Linked DNA regions of Caenorhabditis elegans. The protein of the gene in region 1 purifies or fractionates together with the protein of each later gene. This does not show direct contact. Each region holds a gene or a part of one and is shown in the gene's direction. Other genes may lie near its edges.

Region 1 (8,262 bases):
GCACTTTGATGTCCTCACTGAAATAAAATATTAGAGTTAAAGCAGGCAAAGTTCGTGAAGATTTCGGCATGAAATATTGTAAAATTAACAAAATGCTAGGCATGTTTCAGATTAAAACCAGGAAATTCGCTTCTGAAAACTGAAATTACGTACATGCTTCGTGCAGAGAACACGAGAATCGCCTGAAAGCATCTGGCAATGATTTCCACGTCGACAGAGCTCATCTCGATCGTCGGCCAGTGTTTTTTCTCGATTCTCGCGAGCTCGTGGAGTCCCGGCAGGCACAACGAGAGAATGCTGGAAAAAATTATATAGAAAATATAAATAGTTCTACTTTACTTACTCGTAAATGTAATTGAGATCATTGGGCTTCTTGCTGAACGATGTCAAGTATACAGGCAGAAACTCTAGCTGCTCGGCGGCCTGGATCCGGTCTTTTGCCATTTTGAGATAGATCAGACTGAAATTCTGGAAAAAATATTAATTTTTTGGGTTATACATCGTCTGGAGAACGCTACAAACCGATGAAATGGCACTCGGGCCTTGGAAAAGTTCGAGCAGACGTGGCACTGGGAGACGGATCGCCAAATTGCTCTTGACGACTTTGTTGAAGTGTGTGAGAAATTCGGTGACCTGGAATCACGAATTTTAGTCATTTTGAATCAAATTTCAGCGAATTTTTGCGTCTTACCAGCTGAATGTGCTCCTGCTTTCTCCCGGCAAACTCCAACACATCGCACAAGTGCCGATCTGTGATAGTTTGTAGCTTGGCGTCCGAGTTGGCGTTGACGAGCCGCAGGAAGACTCTTTCCACTGAAAATTTCAAGTTCATTATGTAAATTAGAAGCTAGACTAGCTTACCATCATTTGCTGAGTCGAGAGACGTCAGCGAAGCTGATTCTCTGGGAGCATCGACTTCCATTGGGCTTTCCATGCTGAAAATACTAAATATTTAGCGTTTTACGAAGAAATTAACGTCGAAAAATGAAGAAATTACACTGAAATTGCTAAAAATTGTTCAAAACAATACGAGAAACTCGGTTTTTCCGCAAAAAGTAAAATGTTCTTGAATTTATTCCAAAATGTCATCAAAAATATTTTTATTTTCAGTCTGCGTCTCTCTTCATCGTGTCAATGGGGCGAACTTGACAAGAGACGTCACAGAACCTTTCTCTACAGAAATTTGAGTCTTGAAAAAAAGACCGAAAAACAGGGGAAATTTTTAAATATTTTTGATGAGCGATAAATTTTAAATTGAGAATTAGTTTTGTTTATTTCAAATTGTATTATCGACAAAGTGTATTGGAAGATAGCGCAGGGAAAGAATTTCTCCGAGTGGGAGTTTCCCCAAAATCTGTGGTGTCAAACAGATAAATATTTCCCAATCGCGAAATTTTGCACGAGAAATGTGGTACCCGGCAAGATAATTTTTTGTCAAATGAAAAAAGTGTGTGCTCCTATGAAGAAATGTCCTATCTTTCTTTTAAGAACAAAATCTGAATTTTGTCAGACCTAATTCAATAAATTGCGGATAAACTTTTTGATTTGGGGAAAATGCTTTTATTCATTGCCCAAAAACTCAACTGTTGAGGCGAAATGTTCATGTTTTACCACTTTCCTTGGAAAAAATCCACTAATTCCCACTATATCGACTTTCCTGAAAACCCCACTGTGTAAAATGCGCGCGGCACACTTGCGAAACCCTGTGCGGCGCACTTGCATAGGGCGGAGTCTCAGGCAATCCCGACGGAAATCGGCGCGTCATTTACCGCATGTGCGTGTCCTCCGCTGTCTGCGTGCTCTCTCGTCTCTCTCTCGAACGTTTTTCAAATTTTTCCGCGAATTTTGTGGATAATTTTCTTCTTGTGGCTCGTTTTGCACGTGGTGAAACCTTGAAAAACGGGATTGTGTTGGAAATTTCAAAAATTTGCCCAAAACTGTTACTCATATTAAACTTCCATTATCGTTGCGAAATTGCTGTTTTTAAAATTCAAATTTTTTCCATTTTCAGGTACATTTCTCCTGTACCCAAACTCTTTGACTGCTCCACAGACAATCTTCTATTTATTTATATTTTATTTGCATCCAAAGTGCGAATGAAAGAAATGGTAAGCGCTGGCAACTTGAAAATTTCTTTAAAAATACAATTTTTCCAGTCAACACCAACGGGTCTTCCTGCGCTAAATGGCGATGTGTTGAGCGCCATCAATGATATGATCGGACGTGTAATTATCATTAATACTACGGACAAAAAGCGATATTCTGGGGTGCTGGGCGCCGTGTCTCAGGATTTCGATTTCGGGATGCAGTGCGTCGTGGAAATTACGAAGGAGAACGAGAATAACTTGCTGAGAACAGAGTCGGAATGCAGAGACAAGATGGTATTTCACTATAGTGATATTGTCGATTTTGCGTACGTTACGCAAGAGATCAAGAAGCAGCATGCTGGTAAGAGCTGTTTCAGGGAACTTTTTCATTAAAAAAAATGCATGACATCTTTAATTTTGGGCCAAGTCGGGTTCACAGTTACGATTTTTAATCCGAAAAAGCTGAAAAACTCTCCATTTTCAGTCAGCAAATTCGTCACCGATAGACAATACCACGGAGATACTCCAATCGAGGGCGAAGAGCTTCAGGAATGGAACGGAGGTGAGGAGGACGGACTCGGAGGATCCATTGAGGACGACGTCGTCGTTGCTGGTGGACAAACCGCCGCTCGTCGCAGCAACAATCACAACAACGGCACCGGATGGTCGGTCAACGACATGTTCGCCGCCAACGAGAAGATGAACGTGGTGTCGACGTTCAAAGAGGATTTAACGCAATACACAACGTAATTTATTTGAATTTTTTCGCTTGAAAAATCCAGGATTTTCGGAGTCTGCAAGCGTTTTTGGGCATCTGAATCTATTTTTTTCAGTTTTGCCTTGAAAAAATCTTGTCACTGAACCATTTTTGCAAAATTTTGCATAAAAATGTCCTGAAAGTTGATAATTGACAATTTTCAGGTTATTTTTAAGCATTTTTTCGAATATTTCTACCGAAATCAGTGTTATTCTCTGATGGATCAAGTGCTTTCCTATATTTTGACCCGATTTTTTAATTTTAATTTTGGAAAACATCGTGCAAAGCAATAAAATCCCAAATTTCAGCGTCGAAGTGGTAGGAACCGACGAAGATCGAGCACGCGCCGAGCGGCTCGCTAGAGAAATTGAGTCCAACTCGTCGTCGAAGTTTATGGCGAACTTGGAGAACGACGACGACGAGCGAGATTTGGACAAAATCACGCGTCAAGAGGATTTCGAGAATGGCAATGGCCGAAAGCGGTTGGAATTCTTTAAAAATTTGAATTTATTAATTTAAAAATTTATTTGTTTCAGCAATAATAACAGCTTCAACCAGCAACAACAACAGCGCCGCAATCCGAATATTGCACCAAACGGGCAGCCAGTGAATCGACGTGCCGAGGGTCTTCGCGGAGATCGTCGTAATAGTGGAAGCTCTTCAGCGAACAATAGTCGCTACGGTGCTCCAGCAGCGGCTCAGCAGAACTATTCACAGAATCAGCAGCAGCAGCAAGGTCAAAAAGGTTATCGCCGCCAGAACGAGGAAAATGGTTCGTGTACATTCCCGAGAGTACAGTGTGTCTCTTTGATCATTATCTCTCTCTCGTTCTCTTTCTCCGCGTCCAACAGTTCTTTTTTCGGTGTATTCCGTTTTCTTGACCCATTTCGCATGACATAATTTCGCTAGCGGCTGCAGCGGTTGTCTTCAGCTGATTAATTGGAGTGTTTTTCCTCGTGGGATGCGGAAAAAAGCGATTTTTTTTTTGCAAATTTTCAGCAAAAAAATCAGATTTTTCCCATCAGAAAACCAATTTTTCATTCTTTCCTCACATTTTGATCACAGAAATACGAAATAATTCTGCAATAGTGTTATTTTCAGTGGAAAAATCGTTTTTTTTTCCGATTTTTGACTGAAAAACGTTTTCTTTGTGTCAGAAAAAACAAGTAAATGCCGATTTTTAAGTGAAAACGCCGAAAAAAAAAATTGAAAAAATGACCGAACGGGTCCCAGTTTATCCATACAAACACACCTGCGTCTCTGATACATGCTTTCATCAAGTCTCTCTCTCTACCTCTGTCTACCTCTCTCTCTCTGTCCGCTTCCTCACCGCTTATCATCTTCATCATCATCATCACAAGTTGGTTGTGTTCTTCTCGAAAAACCGTGTTGTCTATGTTGTGTACCAATCGATCGTTAGGGAGGCGCCACACTTTCTCTCTCTCTCTCATTCCTTTCCGCTCTCTTTTTTCTCGGTGATTTTTTGTTGTTGTGTGTGTGTCTGAATGATGATGAAACATGCGATCGTTCATACCTTTTTTGCCTCCTTTGCAGCTTCACCAGTCCTCAGATCCTTCTAGATAATGGAAATTCCACAGTTTTCGAAGTTTTTAGTGTCTTTTAAAAGAAATCTTGATTTAAATTCCTCTTGAAAATCTGTCAGAATCAGATCAAGAGCATTTTGGTATAGCGTTAAAATACTGTAACCGGTCTCGACACGACATATTTGTGTTTAATGGTATGCACCTTTAAAGAGTACTGTATTTTCAAACTCTTTTTGCTGCGAAATTTCTGTTTTTTCATAGTTTCATATGAATATTCCACAGCAACAAGAGTTTGAAATATTTTTTCAAGGCGCCCACCCTTTTGCATTAAACAAGCTTGTCGTGCCGAGACCGGGTAACGTATTTTTGGTAAAAATTCGATTTTTGATTCCTTAGAAAACAATTTCCGTCGTTTTTGTTTAAACAATGACTCATTCTACTTAATTTTCAGACTGGCAGATGGCCAAGGGGAAGGGCCAGAACCAGGGCCACGACCACTCGTTCCGTCAACAGCAGAAGCAGATGCTGGATCCGAGACCCAACAACAATGTGAAGCCGGCTGACGATAAAGCTCAATCTGCCACCACTGCCACTGCTGCTGCCGGTGGATCCCGTGTGACAGATCTCAAGAACTGGGGCAACGAGTTTTCGATTGCGACGGCTCCAAAGGATCAGGCTCCGGCGGTGCCAGCTGGAAACTCGGGTAGTGCCTGGAATCGCGGACCACCGAGCTCGCTGGTTGCCAAGGGATCATCAAATGAGTCGACTCCACCACCGACAACCAATGGAGAGGAGGCTGAGACTAAAAAAGGTATCTATTTTCTATTTTTCTCAACAAAAATGAACAATTTTGCCAATTTCCAGAAGAAGCTCCATCCACAAGCGTCGATGTGGCAGCTGCACCAGTGCAAAACGTACAGAACGACGCGGAAAAGCATCAGGAAGACGACAATGTTTCCGTTACTTCAGAGAATGATTCAGTGATCACTTCGAAGTCATCGTCGTTCAAATTCAACATCAATGCTCCAGAGTTCAAGCCACGTGTGGCTCCGGCGACTCCAACAGCGACGACTCCAGTGCAAAATGGTAGGAAAACGAACAAAACGGCTTTTTTTCAGTATTTTTGTATCAAAAATTAATACAGAAATGTATGTAGAAAAAAGATAATTTTTGTTGAAAGGTTTGAGAAAGATCTCAAATTGTGTCATTTGAGAGGGAATTTTTAAACCAAAATAAATATTTTTCTAAATACACATAGGTATCAATTTTTGATACAAAAATTTTGGCTGCCAAGACGGAGTTTTAACTCTAAAATTTTCAGAATATCATCCACAACAACAGCCACATCCAGCAATGATGGCTCCACAACAAGGACCACCTGCTCCTGGAATGGGAATGGTTCCACCACACATGGGCGGCCCACAAAATCAAGGTCAACCACCGATGATGATGTGGCAACAGACTGGACAACAGCAACAAGGCGGTGGCGGCTATCCACAGAATCATCAATTCCCAATTCAACATGTCCCAATGCAAGGTGTTCCTGGACAGATGTATGGCCCGGGAGCTGCGACTCCGGTCACTGTTGCTCAGCAGCCAAATCAGCAGCATCAGGTGCCAACCAGTGCGGCTGGTGGTCAGAATCATCAGTTGAGAGATGGAGAGTATCGTGAGAAGCAGCCACTCTACATGCCATATGGACCGCCACAAATGGTTCCAGTCACATCTCAGGTAACCGAAAATTTGGAATATCCCTGTAGAAATAGGGAAAACATTTATTTTTAAAGGCCTTGAATTTTTAGAATTTTAAACTTTTCCTAATCTAAAATTCCTGATTTCTCAATTCCAAAAATTCTAAATTTTTTCAGCAATTCTATCATTCACAGTACCAAGGCCAGATGCAGCAAGCTGCTCCATACCAAATGAAGATGATGCCACAGCAAGCTCCACAGGGTGCCTATCAACAGAGATATCAGCAGCCACAAGTGTACATGATGCCTCCACAGGGTCAGCAGCAGCAGCCGAGATACCAGGGTCCTCCACCACCACAGCAACAGCAACAGCAACAACCGCAGCAACAACAATTCTCCGGAGAGCAAAGTCGCCCACAATCACATCCGAATAGTCAGCCAACGACTCCGGGACCACGTGGCGAGTTGCCAAAGATGAGCGGTGCTCCACAGGTGAGATTTCTTTTTTTTTAAACTTATTCGCATGTTTCCCTCTTTCAAACTTTCTGTGCCTAATAAGATGAAGCTTTTCAATATTGTGACCGTGACTCTATTTTCAGAACGGAAACATGCAGGCCGAGTCGAGCAGCAACGCTAGTCACAGCGGATCGACGAGCTCTCAGTCGGGACAACGAAGCGGATCTCCACCAGGTGCTGTTCCTCCACCACCACCACCACAGCAGCAGCATCAGCAACAACAACATCCACCACATCATGCTCCTCCACACGTCGGAGCACCACCACCACAGATGATGCAGCAGCAGCAGCAACACATTCAACAGTATATGGTGATGCAGGGACCGCATCAAATGCATCCGCAGATCCCTAATTACTATCAGCAGCCTCAGGCATGTTTAATCTCTCTCTTTCTTTCCTTTTTTCAGTGGTATTTTTGATTTTTGGTTTTCTTGTTTTTTTTCCTTTCTTTCAGAAGTTTCAGAACAAAATTGTGATTGACTCTGCTAAATTTTTGTAGATCTGCAAGTTCTACAGCTGAAATCGCCCAGTGAAAAAGGAGAAAAAATTGCCTAATGTTTTTTTTCATACTTTTTTTCTTAAAAATAGCGAGAAAGTTTCGATTCCGACTGTAGAACTTGAATGTGCCCAAATCAACGAAAAATTGGCAAATTTTAGCTGAGATCTCCTATTTCGGCAATTTTTCTGGATAGATTTTTTTTTTGAATTGAATTTTGAGATTTTATTTAAAATTACCATTTTTTGAGAAATATTTGAAAATGTCTCACACTCTATAAAAGAACAAAACCGAGAAAAAAACGTAAATCTAATTTTCAATCATTTTCAGCAAGTATTCTATCCGATGATAATGCCCCAACAGATGCCAATGCAACAGAACCAACATCCTCAACAAAGTCTTATGGGCGAGCGATCTGATCAAGGATTCCCGACGTCGGGATACTTTGACTACCGTACAATGCCAAACTATCAGCAACAACAACAACAGCAACAGCAACAAATGCACCGCCAGAATTCGCTTCCACAGCAGTTCCAAGGCAATCAAGGTAATGTTTTAAATGTTTATAAAGTTCAAATTTCTAACCGTTTATGAAGCTTTGAAGGTGTAAATCCATCTGGTCAACAATCTGGTCCACCACCACCGCCACCACCGTCTCAACAAGGCACACCACGTGATCAGCAGCACTCTCAGAGCCCCCCGTAATCATATCTATATGCGCTCTTCCTGCGCTTTTCAGTGCTTTATATAATGTTTCCCCAATATATATTCATTTTAATATTCTTATTTTCTTCCTTCTCTTCCTTCTTTTCATCAAAAATCCGCTTCTCCCCCCTTCCCCCATGCCACCATCTACAACAACCACAAAAATCTCGTGGAATTCCGAAATTCCGTCATAAACAACAAGATGTGATGTTCTAGTTTTAGAAAAAACCGTGTGTTCTTTGTATCCCCTCTTGTGGGTAAAGTTCACACCGCCAATACCTCCTCCTCCTCCTTCTCCCCACACAAATTACTTGTAGTGTCGGAAAAAGTACACTTTTCCGTACACGAAGGATCATGTCAAAATGCTCCTTTCACTTTTTATTCGTTATTTCTCTCGCTCTGCCTTCCTGATTATCCGTTTCCGAGACCGTCTTATTCTTTTTTTTTCTTGTAAAACCAAACCAAT
Region 2 (4,657 bases), on another chromosome or scaffold:
GATGCCTGTAGCCGAATTCCGTAAAGACGATGGAAATGTGATGAAGGGAGTGCAGAGAGGAGTGGGCTCATTCAGTGTATCATCTGCAGCTGGTATAGTAGGTATGGCGCAGACAGTCACTGGATTTGTGCAAAGTCTCGCCGAGATGACGATGAAGGAAATAAAACCAGACGACCCGTCAACAAGGAGAGTTGCGAGACGATACAACAGAAATCACGGTATGAACCCGACAGATGTCCGCCATAGTCTGCAACTCGCTTACGGAATTCTTTATGATGTAAGTTTTCTCTTCAGTTTGTATTATTTGTATGGTAGATTATTTGGGTACTTGTTTTTTCAAAAATTCCAATTACCATCATAAATGTTTTGCAGGGGTATCATCAGACGAGAGATGATCTGGAACTCGCTGCTCAGGAAGACCGGGCTTCAGGAAATTCCGTCGTCAGAAGTGCGTTCCGTTACGCTGTTCCAACGTTCCTGGGACCTATTGTTATGGCTACTCAAGTCACGTACCAACTACTGGGAGGACTTCGCAACCAACTACGTCCTGATACTTATCAAGACGAACGTCGAAAATGGGGTGAAAAAGATGTACCCGGAGGTGTGAATAAGTAATCGGATTTCCTCCCAATTTTTGATAATTGTACATCTTCTTAATGTGTTTAATTGTACACTTTTGTTAGATTTTTTTAAAATATATTCAGCATTTCATTTTTTTTCTTTTTTCCTCCATTTTTGGTTATTTTTTCTTTTCTTTTTTTGTACATTTGTATTTTCCCAACTGCCTTACTTAACCGCTTCTTTTTTTCAGTGTCGTGCTTGAACCCATTCTCATTTGATTCGAAACATATTACACGGTAATTCGCCTCATTGTTCATCTTTCATCTTTCATAACTTTTCTAGAAACTGGTTTTGAGATTGTGTGAGTGTCTTCTTTTTTTTTTCATTTGTTCCCCCTCCTAATTGCTATGTTTCTTTAATTGTCAGATTTGGCTTTTTTACTTGTACCCTACATTCGCCTTACTGCATCTATTACACTGGATATCCCTTATGCTCTCGCTGCACTCTATGTCAATTGTTAATGGCTTATTCACTTTGAAAAGTCAGAAAATTTAAATGAATGTCATCTTGGAATTTTTTTTTGAATTATTCACATTAACATTAAAAACAGAAAAAAAAATGCAGTTCCGAATACGTCAGTTTATTAAGAATGTGCTACTCCTCAATAATAAGATTTCAGTTAGAAAGTTTTGATGACGTGTTTTTTAGGATTTCGAAAAGTTTTCGATTGTCGACTTTTTATGTCGAGTCAAAAAGCGATAAAAACTATGCTTGTTTTTATTGGGAGAAATCTGAAACATTGTCGCTTGTTCAACCCCCTAAAATGTTGAAATATGAATATTTTAAAAATAATTAATTTGTAAAACTGTAATGAATTTATTTATCGACGATTGTCAAAAAACAATTGTGAAGGCTGGGTTTTCACTGCTATTTGATTCGAAATAATACATTTTCCCAATTTTTTTGAAAAGTTTTGTTATGATTTAAAAAAAATCATTTCATCTTTGGTATATAATAATTTCTCCACAGTCCACATTTAATGGTTAAAGTCAACGAAGATGGTTTTAAGTTATTAGACTTTCTTGGATTTCAACTAAAGTTGTTTCATTTTTTAGTTTCATTTTCAAAAGATTAAGGATAAGAAATCAAAAACTGATATCGCAAAATTGTTTTAAAAACATAGTAAAACTTCATTTTAAAAATCTCACCATGCTTGAATTTACTTTTAATGTGTGTTCCATAATTTCAAATCTAAAGCTGACTGGTTTTGAGGTTTTTTAAATTCAAGTTTTGTTTCTACGCTGTAAGATCATTTTTATCATTTTAAACTTTTTTTGAAAAAAATCTTGTTTCATATATTTCTAAAATATTTACCAGTGAACATTACAGAATCACAGTTATTGTCTGTAAATAGTTTATAGATTGTCGTAAAGTTTTTCTAGGTTTTTTTAAAAAATATTTATACCTAACTGCGACAGTTATTGCTTCATGTTATCTATGGTACTCGATCAGTTTTTTTTGCAATGGTTCAATTGTTTGTAGTCACTTATTCGAACACAATCAATTGAATCGACTCGAGTGTACCGTTATCATACGCAACGCGCGTTTTCTTGCCCACACTTTGCCAGTAATAGAAGACATGAGAAGACCACAGCGTAGTCATGTATATAATCAATGACCATTCCTCTCTATCAGTTGATTACCTTTTCTTCTCTCTTCCTACATTTTGTGTTTTTTAAAACTCTTTTATTGAGTTTTGTATAGTCGTTGCCAAATTATTTTTTTTCATTTTAGAAACAAAATGTCTCTTCGTTTTGACGGAAAAGTTGCTATTGTCACTGGAGCTGGAGGTGGTCTTGGCAAGACATATGCTCTTGAACTTGCCAAGAGAGGATGCAAAGTTGTTGTAAACGATCTTGGAGGAGATAGACATGGAACTTCATCCTCTTCATCAATGGCTGACAAGGTTGTTCAAGAAATCAAATCAGCTGGAGGACAAGCAGTTGCCAATTATGACAGCGTTGAGTTTGGAGACAAAATCGTAAAAACCGCCATCGACAATTTTGGAAGAATTGGTACAGTTTTTTGATAATAGAATACTGATGGATTTGAAATTGGTTCCAGATATTGTTATCAACAACGCTGGTATCCTTCGTGACGTTTCTTTCCTCAAGATGACCGAGCTTGATTGGGGTTTGTAATAGCTTTCAAAAAATAAAATAAATCTGCTCAATTTTCAGATCTTATCTTCAAGGTCCACGTTAAGGGAGCCTATGCTGTCACCAAAGCCGCTTGGCCATACATGAGAGATCAGAAGTACGGGCGTATTGTGGTCACCTCTTCCAATGCCGGAGTTCACGGAAACTTTGGACAAGCCAACTACGCTGCTGCCAAAAGTGCTCTCATTGGTCTGTCAAACTCTCTCGCCCAAGAAGGTGCAAAGTACAACATTTTGGCAAATACCCTGGTCCCAACAGCCGGATCTAGACTTACCGAGACTGTCATGCCACAGGTATTTTGAAGAATGATTTTTTTATAACGGAAATCTTTACAGAATCTCGTTGATGCTTTGAAACCAGACTATGTCACCCCACTCGTGACATACATGGTGCATGATTCTTTCGAAGAGTCCGGAAAAGTTTTTGAAGCTGGAGCTGGATGGTACGGAACTATTCAATATTACAAATCTAAAGGAAAGGTTATTTCACACGCATCAGCTGATGACATTGCCAAGAACTGGTCAACCATCACCAACATGAACGGAGCCGAGTACATCGGAACCATCACTGAGCAGAGTGCTAGACTTGTCTCAATCCTGGAAGAGCACGAAGCTTCATCTGGAAGTAGCAGTGCTTCTTCTGGTGCTTCTTCTGGTGGTGCTTTCCCCTCAAACATCAGGAGTAGTGCACTGTTCCAGGAAATGGCTGATGGTGTGAAGGCTGACCCAACTGCAGTAAAAACTTTGAAATCGATTGTCCTTTACATCATCACTGACGGAAAGAACGAGCTTGGAAAATTCAGTTAGTTTTTGATGCGTCAATTATATTAAAACTAGTATTATTTCAGCTCTTGACTTCAAAAGTGCATCTCCATCCGTGTACTTGGGTGATGTAAAGAACGGAGAAAAAGCTAACGCGACGGTCACTGTTGCTGATAGCGATTTTGTTGACATTGCAGCCGGAAAATTGAATGCTCAAAAGGTATACGCTGGCACTGATAGTACTAATCTTCCACAAACCATTATTTACAGGCATTCATGAGCGGAAAACTGAAAGTGAAGGGAAACGTAATGCTTCTTCAGAAACTTCAAACCGTTCTTGAAAAGGCGAAGAAGTCAAAATTGTAAACAGACAGAAGCGTTCAATTTTGTAAATTATATTGAGTCAGAATGATTAATTATTGATATTGAGTACATTTAATAAAACATTTCAATGACATCAGAGACACCAAATATTGAAGCTGGTGATGGGGGTGGCGGTTGGGTGAAACATAAGAGTATGGCAATTTATAGTCGTAATTACAACGATGAAAAAAAATTAGCAAAAAGAAATATGGGTTCAGTTGTATCGTGATTTTCCGGAGTGCATACCACTGACAAGTTGTTGAGTAAGTTGGTCAATATCATCTCCTCCTCTGTAATTTTTTCTTTACTGTAGAAATATTATAGCATTTTAATTACCTGGAATAGGATGTAGATTTGGTTCTAATCTCCTGGAATCGTTGATTGTAATTTGGATCTCTTTGGTATACTGGCTCAGTGTGGGTGTTGGCTTCGCGTTGGCTATGGGTTAGGTCTGAAATATTGATAATTTTTTTTGAAGTGTATTTGGAGACAGCGCTTACTATCGTCTCGAAGTTGGCGGACAAATTTGTTGGGAGAAGCGACGGGATGATTTGCTTTGTATGGTGCATGTGGCGCGAATTGTTCTCTGAAAAAAAAGATTGATTTTTTAAAATTATTATTTTTAAATGTATTCCTAAAACTATTTTCACAGTTAATTTGCGATTAGTCCATCAGACACCAGACATAATTGACATTATGGACGTAGGGTTCAACAAAAATTTTAATTAAGCACTATGAATAAGGTTTAAAAAA
Region 3 (3,881 bases), on another chromosome or scaffold:
TTTTATAAAGAAGCCTTATAAGAAATGTCAATTATTTTAAAGATGGAGTCCGGCTGCCTGCAGAGGGCCAACAATTCCATTAACTATAGCTACCGCAGCTGTGTCGTTTTGAGCAACAGTAATACAAGCGAGTGCTTCGATGCGGGCCATGCTTCCAGTAACCAAGTTGACAGCTTCATACCTGAAAATAACGAGTTGAAATAAGTTATTAATTGAAAGTGTTGTAAATAGATGTTCTGAAATAATTTTATAAAACTCAAAAAATCACACACCGATCATGACGTCTGTTGCATTTAAAAGTCAATCCAGATTTGCTGCTTGCTGAGAGAACTGCATAGTCTCTAGTTTGAGTAAAGTCTGGTGAAGCTCCTCTTGATTTTCCGACAAGAATTTGAATCTGTGGATTTTCGCACACAGCAATTGCGTATTCTTTTCCATTACGATTGAAATAAGCAATCTTTGGAGCAGATAACAACGGGTTAGTTAATGGATTTGGCGAATTGAAAACACCAAGACGACGACATTCCCATTCTGGAAATATAAATGGTTGAAATTTAGATATCGTAAGTACTTACTCTCATCACTGTCTCTGCTGTTGCTACGAGAGTGATGACTGCGATGATGTCGATCATGTAAAACGTGGAAGTTATTATGATTATTGTAGGTGATGTCGCCGCCGTATCCGCTGCATGCAATCACTCCAAAAAGAGCGGAGATAGCTAGAAGATTCAGATGCATTTTCGGAATCGAATATGATAAAAGAAATATGGTGACACCTTTTATATAGCGTTTCTAGGCTCATGATACATTGAGAAATGTTTTGAGAATGAACCTAGTTTGTTTATATTAAAACATAGATACAAAATCTTGTCTCAAAAGAAAATTGATGACATCACAACAAAGAGAAAAAAGATGATTCATGAAATATAGTTAACTTCTGGAATAATGTGTGGAAAGTGAGAAGCGGGTGTCGACAAAATCAGAAAGTACAGAGCTTTAAAAAAATTTAAGGAATTAGGTATAATGATAAATTAGAGATGAAAATGGTACATTTGCATTAGTTAGTTACTTAGAAACTGGAATTTTATTAAAATAGTTTTTGTTTTTTATTGTTTCTCATGAATTAATTTTGTGGCTTCTAGGTGTTTATAAAAAATAATTGTCCTCAATAGGAGAAATAATTAAAAGTTTAGTTCAGATGCTGAAACCTATGAACCCATTAACACCACAAATTTCGTCATTACATCTTCAAAAAGGCTGAATTTGAATGATGCATGCGAATGGCTACGCGGGATATAAAGTTTGAAATAATTTTCAAGCAAAGTTTCTTCATTTTCTCTGCATTTGTTTTTCAATTTATCCTCTTATGCCACTGTATGTACCATTAACTACGTCTTCCTTCCCATCTTTATCCATCTACAATGTTTCTATATATTATGTTTCAGTTATTAGATTCTGGTCTCCGATTTTGTAAAATGCTCTAACAGACTAATGTTTGAAAAATTAAGTCTTAGCCAATCGCAGTGTGTATAAACTCTGAAAACTATCAGACATACAGTTTGATATTATTCATTTTATTTTCATTCGGATATCCGTCTGAATAGAATTGAAACTTTTGGAAAAAACAAAATTCGTTCACAAAACATCCATCTTTGTGACGTGATGTTTTATGTTTTCCCTCTGATTTCTTTCTATAAAAACCTTTACAACTCCACAAAGAACATCATTCACCAAGATGTTAGTTGTTCTTGCTATCTCTTTGGCAGTTACCGCAGTTTGTGCTCAATACGGATCAGGACCAGCCAATAATCCACCGGCTTCTTCCTATTCATCAAATGTTTACTATCCACCTCCGGTTTATGGATCAGTGTACTGGGATTACGATAGTGGAAGTCGTGAACATCGTCATAAACGTAAACCGTAGTCCATTAATAAATAAACATCTTACCAATTTCAGAGTGCCCACGTTTGAGAGCATATGTGGGTGAGTTCCCTGGTATCCCTGAGGAAGCATTCTATCCACCAATCATTCGATATGTCAAATACAACAGAAAAGTGACTGCTCTTGTTGTCTGTGATAGAGATGAAAAGAATTTGAACTTCCTTTTCGGTTAGTTATCTCGAACTATTCAAAGTAGATTAGTGATTGTATTTAACTATATCCAGCTCGTCACAACAAAACTCGTGATGTCCGTTCTGCCAGTGTTGTCGCTATTGGAAGCACCGCCGGTGTCACTCTCGTTTGTAATCGCGATGACAGAAGATATGAGGGATTTGTTATTGATATGAATGCAACTACAAACGGATTCTCTAAGAAAATCGAAATCACGCAACTCACTTGTCTTGGACTCGACAAAACTATTATTGGTCTTCCTGTGGAACACGGAGTACAACAACTGGCGCAAAAGATTCAGGAAATTTTGGAAGATGACTTCTTCGTTCCAGTTATTCCGTCGAGAAGGAAGAGACAAGCTGGTGGAGCAACTGCTAACAGCGCTGAATCCACGACTGAAGCAGCTGACACCGAATCCACAACTGAAGCCGCTGCCACCGAAACTCCTGCCGCCGAATCTACCACAACTGAAGCTTCCGCTACTGACGCTGCCGCCACCGAAGCTTCCGCTACCGATGCCGCCGCCACCGAAGGTGCTGTCACCAAAGCTGCTGCCGGAGTTACAGAAGAATCAGCTACGGAAGTGATCACTGTAGCAACAACACCAGCTTCACCAGATGCGGCGCTTAATAATGCTATTAACGAATTGGGAAAAATTCTCGGTCAAGTTTTCTAAATGCATTTCGATTTTAATTGTTTAATATGTCAATTGATTATTGAATAAAAGTCAATGAAAGCTAAAGTTATTTATACAATTTTCAGAGAATGTAAGAAAATTATAATATGACCACTAGAATCATTTAATATTCGGACCTAACTTCGTACCTAATTTTCGCCCGAAGGAAAAAATCTTGGTTAGGTAAAATATAATAGACCTTATATGTACTTGCGATCGCAGCAATAGCTTTTCCATTTTCACCAAAAGTTTTCTTGAAGATTATCAGCTTTTTAATGGTCGCCACCGGGGAAATGTTAAAAATGCCTCTTATAGTGCGAAACTGCCTAAAAGAGATAGAACAATAGTCTACATTTTTTTTGAATTCCCATTTTGCCACAAAGTTGCCTGAAAATTTTAAGTTAGCAAAACGATATTGAATAATTTTTAGGTAAAATCTACATATACTGAGAATTATGAACTTTTAACCGTTTCATTTTTGGACAAAATATGGTCGCGTTTAAAATTGAAAAATTAAAAATTAATATTCACAGCTATTATTATTTTAGATTTATTTGTAAATAATATGCAACGTTCTCATAAAATATTAAATCAATACGACTATATATTTTGCAGTCATTGATCACCTTTTAAAAGTTATCTTCAAAATGTTTCATGAAAATGTGATTGTTGTCTTCTTGTAGCCAAATGTTAAATTCACAGCTGTTTTTTTGAAGGAGGTCAACTCAGCCGACGAGCCATCGTCTTCTCTCCATTTTTGTCCTTCTAGGTAAACACGAGGCAAACCACAGTGGAGAACATAAGAACAGATAGACGATTGAAGAAAATTTCTTTTTCAAATGCGTTGACGGGTTTTTTCAAACTTTTTTGTTTTTCTCTCTCTCTCCAAATTCCGAACACAACTGTTAACCTGATAACGAATATTTAATTTCAGCCCAATGGGATGCATCTTGTCTTGTAAAGAAAAACCCAAAGCAAAGTTAAATCAAAACATAAACATACCAACGCAAATTCGGAGGACAGATACATTTCCACAAGAGATGGCAGAGATCAGAATGCAGGCCAAACACGTGCATTTTTCGGTTAGTTACT
Region 4 (5,112 bases), on another chromosome or scaffold:
GAACGTTTGCTGGCACAACCTGGAGTAACACAGAAGGAAATGGAACGGCTGTTAGATTTCTTAGACACTTGTGATGAAGAGAGTTCCGATGAGGAGTATGATGAAGATGAAGAGGAAGGAGACGATGATGAAGAGAATCTTAACAATAGTGTAGAAGAACTCGACTCTGATGATTATGCATCTGATGATAATATCGAGAAAAGCAATAATTCTGACCAACAACTGAAATCCAAAAAGATAGAGACCCAAGTGATTAAGGTCGAAGAAATTGTTGAGGTAATTTCAAATACTAAATAGAAACAATTCACTATTATTTTAACACACAATTTTTAGGAAACCGTAACAAAAACCACCGTCAAACGGAAAAAATCGGGAGTTCGATTTGCGCAACAGCTTGAAAATGTGAAAACATTCCATCAAACAGACACTGTCGAAATCAAGGAAGAAGATTCAGTTATTGAAACCAAATCAATTCTCCGGAGCACTGAACCAACACCCGTTGATCGTTCAGCTCTCGAACCCGAGCAAAAGGAACTTGCTGCGATGAGCACAATGACATTTCCAGGAGAAATTGTTGAGAAGAATCCGTACGAGTGTGAGCCGTCGACAAGCAGAGACCCCGCTCCCGTCATCACCGAGAAAAAAGTTTCCAAATTCAGAGCTTCCAGGCATAGAAATTGATCTTTACTTTCTAATTTCTATATAATTTTCATATCGTTCAGCTATATATCATTTTATGCTCACTGTTAAACACTTTTGCCACATTGGTCAACATTTCCCCCGTAGAATCTCTTTTTCTGTGTTTGAAAACTAACATTTAATAGTTGGCAGCAATTATCACGTTCCCATTGTCATTAAAGTTCTAGTATATTTCAAAAATAAAATTAAACAGTTTCAAACATTGCTTTAATTTCAAAACTAAAGATGGATTTCTTTCCTGAACAGTTGGTCTGATCACATTAGGCTGAAGAGACTAAACCATATTCGCAATGGGAGTATAATGTGCGCATATTGTGTTATCTTCCTTCGCTCCATGGCGAATCAACTGTGAACCAACTCTACAACAGACTCGGACACAAATCGATAGTTATATAAAATTTCGCTGTTTGAACGTTGCCATGGGGGCAATTTTGGATTTCTCACAACTGATCTAACGGGAAGGAATCAAATAAACTGAAATTAACAGTAAAATTTTAAATCAAAATATCTCGGAGCTCTAGGGTGAATAGAAGCTGGAATTTTAGAGGAATTCACTAGAACCTTCTACTATCAGATGGTACTATTGTCTTTTGGAAGTAAAGAGTCAGGTGAAAGAACTTTCCTTGTAAATGACTATTCGTCCAAAATCATATTACCGATTTCAGCATAGCTACAGTAATCCTACAGTACCTGCATTTCATACATTAAAGGCAACATTTTGAACTTTAAAACCTATATGAAACATTTATCAGAACAAAGAGAATATGATCAGAGTTCACAATAAGATCTGAGACATAAAACATGTTTCTGATAAGAATTATTTTGCAGATAGTTGCCGGGATGCAAGATAATAGAAAAAGTGAAAACAATTGTCTGAAATTTAAATGTATTGAAAAACAAACAATCTTGAACAATTGGGGAAGTAAGGCTGATTTTAAAAGTCAAATAATTAAAGTATTTTGAAAATCGAAAGCTAACTTGTCAAGTCACCTCAAACCAAGGGAACGCTATTTTTTCCAATGATATTTTAGAACAATAGTTGATAAAAACTTTTGAATTTTAAGAAAATTTTCTGAAAAAAAAGGTTCTTTAAATTTATTGAACTAGTTAACTAGCTAGTTCAGTTTACTTTAAAAATCAGAATTCATGAATTCCATCAGAGCTAAAAACCAGCAGTAGACTTTTCTAGCGGATAATTTAAACAACGACTTCAGATCAAGAATCGAAGTCTTTAATTTTTATGGAGAAATTTTTAATTCAATTGAAACCTGCCGAACCGAAAGATCTTTTTTGTCATCTTTATGAAAACACATTCAGTTTCCGAATTAAATATCCTTCAGCAATATTCCAGCCCTAAACGTTCAAATGACAAATAAAGATTTAGTTGTCCACATATTGAATCAAGAAATAAACATTTTCAGGCCCAAGGGGTCTGTGACCACAACGTGATCTATGATGTATAAGTGGGTGTGGCTACTACTACAGTACTACTCCTTATAAAAACCTTCCATCTACCACACTAATTACTTTCACCTTCACAATGTCCACTTCTACTACTAAAATTCTAAAACAAGCAATGAACATCATATCTACCATCAGAAGCTCGTACAGTACTGCAACCGCAGTTTCTATTTCTCGACATTGTGAAGATTTCACAGGAACCCCTCCACCGGTAAACTTGCTAACTGAAAATGAACTCTTCTTTGCGGATACTGGTTTGTTTTAAATTTATTTAAAGAAGTTAAAGTTTTACACTTTCAGTTCGTAAGTTTTCCAAAGATGTTGTAAAGCCATTAGTCAGGGAAATGGATAAATACTCAAAAATGAGCCCGATTGTGACGCAAGGTGTATTTGAAAATGGGGTAAGTTAATTCTTATTACTTAAATTTTAATGTTATGGAAAAGGGGTTTATATTTACACTGTTTATTATGAAAACCTAAAAAAAGTATAATAAGAAGGAAGATTGATAAATACTTTATAACTTTGTAAGGTAACGTTTCAGTAAAATCAATTTCATGGAAATATCCAAAAACTTTTGCATTAAACACTTAACTTATTTAACTAATTATGCTATAAAAATGAGAAAGTTTTAGATTGACTTTTCTAGTTCAAAACGATTGTAAGCAGATTTATTTATAGACCTGTTAAGAAACGAAAAAATCTTCCAGCTAATGGGTGTTCATGTTCCTGAAGAATACGGAGGCTCTGGATCCTCTTTTTTCAATGCAATGATTGTCATTGAAGAGTTGGCAAAAACTGATCCATCTGTATCTGCAATGGTTGGAATTCACAACACCCTCCCTGTATCAATGATTATAGATTATGGAACAGAAGAACAAAAACTAAAATACTTGCCTCGTCTCTGTTCTGATAGTCTTGCATCCTTCTGTATCTCAGAATCAGGTGCTGGATCCGATGCATTTGCATTGAAAACTATTGCAAAACGAGATGGAGATCACTTTTTGATCTCTGGAACTAAAATGTGGATTACTAATTCAGGAGAGGCACAGGTTTTTGTGGTATTTGCAAATGCAGATCCTAGCCAAAAATACAAAGGTATCACATGTTTTATTGTGGAAAGATCAGCGGATGGTCTTACTGTAGATAAGGAGGTATGTTCAGTTTTTAACTTTAGAGCAAAAATGAAAAAAAAATTTACAGGAAGACAAACTTGGAATCCGAGCTTCATCCACTTGTCAAGTTCATTTTGACAATGTTCGTGTCCACAAATCAGCAATTCTGGGAGAGTATGGAAAAGGTATGAGATTCTAGTAAAATCAATCAATAACTTGCATGTTTCCAGGCTACAAATACGCAATTGAATGCCTAAATGCAGGTAGAATTGCCATTGGAGCACAAATGATTGGACTGGCTCAGGGTTGTTTCGATCAAACAATTCCATATCTTCAACAGAGAGAACAGTTCGGTCAGAGACTTATTGATTTTCAGGTTATTTTTGAAATTGGGTTTGAATTTTTGATACACAAATGTTCAGGGTTTACAACATCAGATTGCACAAGCTAGAACTGAAATTGAGGCCGCACGTCTACTAGTGTATAATGCTGCCCGTATGAAAGAATATGGAATACCATATGTACGAGAAGCTGCAATGGCGAAACTGTTTGCATCACAGGTAATTTGATAAATTGTAGAAACACCACAGGCACAGAGCTCGTGCTCTGATCTAATTGTACATGTTCTAGAGTTATAAATGATTATCATAAAATAGAAGCTCATCATCGGAGCTTTATATAATGAGCGATATTATTTTTTTTCAAATATTTCATATCAAAAAGTATGTCTTAGAATCTGAACCGTTGTGAAATGAATATTCTGAAAAAAATTCAATTGAATTCAAATGTTTCAAGGTTGCAACATCAACATCAGCTCAATGTGTAAAATGGCTCGGTGGTGTTGGATTCACAAAAGAATTTCCAGCCGAAAAGTTCTATAGAGATGCAATGATTGGAGAGATTTATGAAGGAACTTCCAATATTCAATTGAACACAATTGCCAAATTAATTGATAATGAGTATAAATGGAAAAATTAATTGATTCGCCTTCCGTTGTATGCTTTTTGTAAATTTGAAAACGTATTGATAAATCTAAAAGTTGAACAATTTTGAATAAAACACAAGATTTTTACAGAAACCTGATGTAGGTGCACTCGTATCAACTTACTTAATTCAATCTCCTACCGTACATCCCACCCTCACAGTTATATTTCTTATCACATATCGATGGAGACTTGATGTGACTCTGAGACTGCTCCAATAGTATTCTGTACTGCTATCGTCCAAACAAATCTCAAAAGTATCTGAATGTATCACTCGGTTCTCAACAAGTGTTTGCAATTGGTGTATACACTGGTGATAAATCAGGAAACGCAACTGAATACTTGGAGCAGTTATTTTTGAAAGGTACTTTAAAAGTTTTGACCTTCACAATTTTATCTCGTGAAGAGCGTGAAACCCTAAATACATGAGTTTTTGAAACGTATTTCACGTAGTCTTACCCCCTCTCTATAAAAGCAGTAGATTCATTAGTTTTTCAAATTATTACCGACTTTGGTAAAGTATTGGTCGCAGTTCTTAACAACTTCCGAAGCAATTTAGCATGTCGAAGATGAGTAAGTTACTATGAAAGTTCGAGTATGCCAATCATGTAAATTGTTTCAGAACGGCGTACAAATAAGCCTCGCGCTACAGAGAGTGCAAACAGCAGCACCAAATCGTCTGTGCTCGATGAGCCAACACTGGTTGAGCGGAAACAACAAAAGAAACAGGTAAACTATTTTGATTTTTGAAAATATAAGGAGCCTCGCAGTACATCACAAAAACTATCATACTATCTCCCATTAAATATAAATCTGTTGCAGATCTTGAAGTTCGTTCAACGTACACTGGAAAAGA

Evidence for each region.
Region 2: the proteins of atx-2 (region 1) and dhs-28 purify together in Caenorhabditis elegans (affinity purification with mass spectrometry, with the first as the bait; one large-scale study listed by BioGRID). This does not show direct contact.
Region 3: the proteins of atx-2 (region 1) and ule-3 purify together in Caenorhabditis elegans (affinity purification with mass spectrometry, with the first as the bait; one large-scale study listed by BioGRID). This does not show direct contact.
Region 4: the proteins of atx-2 (region 1) and acdh-1 purify together in Caenorhabditis elegans (affinity purification with mass spectrometry, with the first as the bait; one large-scale study listed by BioGRID). This does not show direct contact.

What each region holds. Positions count from the first base shown.
Region 1 is NC_003281.10:10,459,617-10,467,878, forward strand, and holds atx-2 (Sm domain-containing protein), read left to right. Parts: upstream 1-1,772; coding exon 1,773-2,108; intron 2,109-2,156; coding exon 2,157-2,448; intron 2,449-2,571; coding exon 2,572-2,833; intron 2,834-3,152; coding exon 3,153-3,326; intron 3,327-3,380; coding exon 3,381-3,616; intron 3,617-4,839; coding exon 4,840-5,199; intron 5,200-5,252; coding exon 5,253-5,474; intron 5,475-5,709; coding exon 5,710-6,119; intron 6,120-6,256; coding exon 6,257-6,571; intron 6,572-6,678; coding exon 6,679-6,970; intron 6,971-7,425; coding exon 7,426-7,638; intron 7,639-7,687; coding exon of another isoform or gene 7,688-7,695; coding exon 7,696-7,796; downstream 7,797-8,262. Other genes in the region: ecps-1 (Proteasome component Ecm29 N-terminal domain-containing protein), read right to left, coding at 1-17, 154-297, 344-468, 523-633, 692-813, 862-934.
Region 2 is NC_003284.9:6,816,083-6,820,739, forward strand, and holds dhs-28 (Ketoreductase domain-containing protein), read left to right. Parts: upstream 1-2,355; 5' UTR 2,356-2,362; coding exon 2,363-2,636; intron 2,637-2,685; coding exon 2,686-2,754; intron 2,755-2,801; coding exon 2,802-3,073; intron 3,074-3,115; coding exon 3,116-3,581; intron 3,582-3,627; coding exon 3,628-3,761; intron 3,762-3,811; coding exon 3,812-3,907; 3' UTR 3,908-3,998; downstream 3,999-4,657. Other genes in the region: atg-2 (Autophagy-related protein 2), read left to right, coding at 1-277, 373-615; gei-15 (GEX Interacting protein), read right to left, coding at 4,119-4,194, 4,241-4,355, 4,405-4,490.
Region 3 is NC_003283.11:10,792,073-10,795,953, forward strand, and holds ule-3 (Uterine Lumin Expressed/locailized), read left to right. Parts: upstream 1-1,725; 5' UTR 1,726-1,735; coding exon 1,736-1,913; intron 1,914-1,957; coding exon 1,958-2,110; intron 2,111-2,166; coding exon 2,167-2,789; 3' UTR 2,790-2,852; downstream 2,853-3,881. Other genes in the region: D1054.10 (DUF1525 domain-containing protein), read right to left, coding at 37-181, 273-531, 576-738; D1054.19 (Ragulator complex protein LAMTOR5), read left to right, coding at 3,728-3,871.
Region 4 is NC_003279.8:6,495,214-6,500,325, forward strand, and holds acdh-1 (Short/branched chain specific acyl-CoA dehydrogenase, mitochondrial), read left to right. Parts: upstream 1-2,222; 5' UTR 2,223-2,239; coding exon 2,240-2,414; intron 2,415-2,460; coding exon 2,461-2,561; intron 2,562-2,868; coding exon 2,869-3,312; intron 3,313-3,361; coding exon 3,362-3,458; intron 3,459-3,503; coding exon 3,504-3,649; coding exon of another isoform or gene 3,650-3,695; coding exon 3,696-3,833; intron 3,834-4,068; coding exon 4,069-4,251; 3' UTR 4,252-4,347; downstream 4,348-5,112. Other genes in the region: uri-1 (Unconventional prefoldin RPB5 interactor), read left to right, coding at 1-276, 334-681; C55B7.3 (Protein-tyrosine phosphatase), read left to right, coding at 4,817-4,829, 4,879-4,985, 5,079-5,112.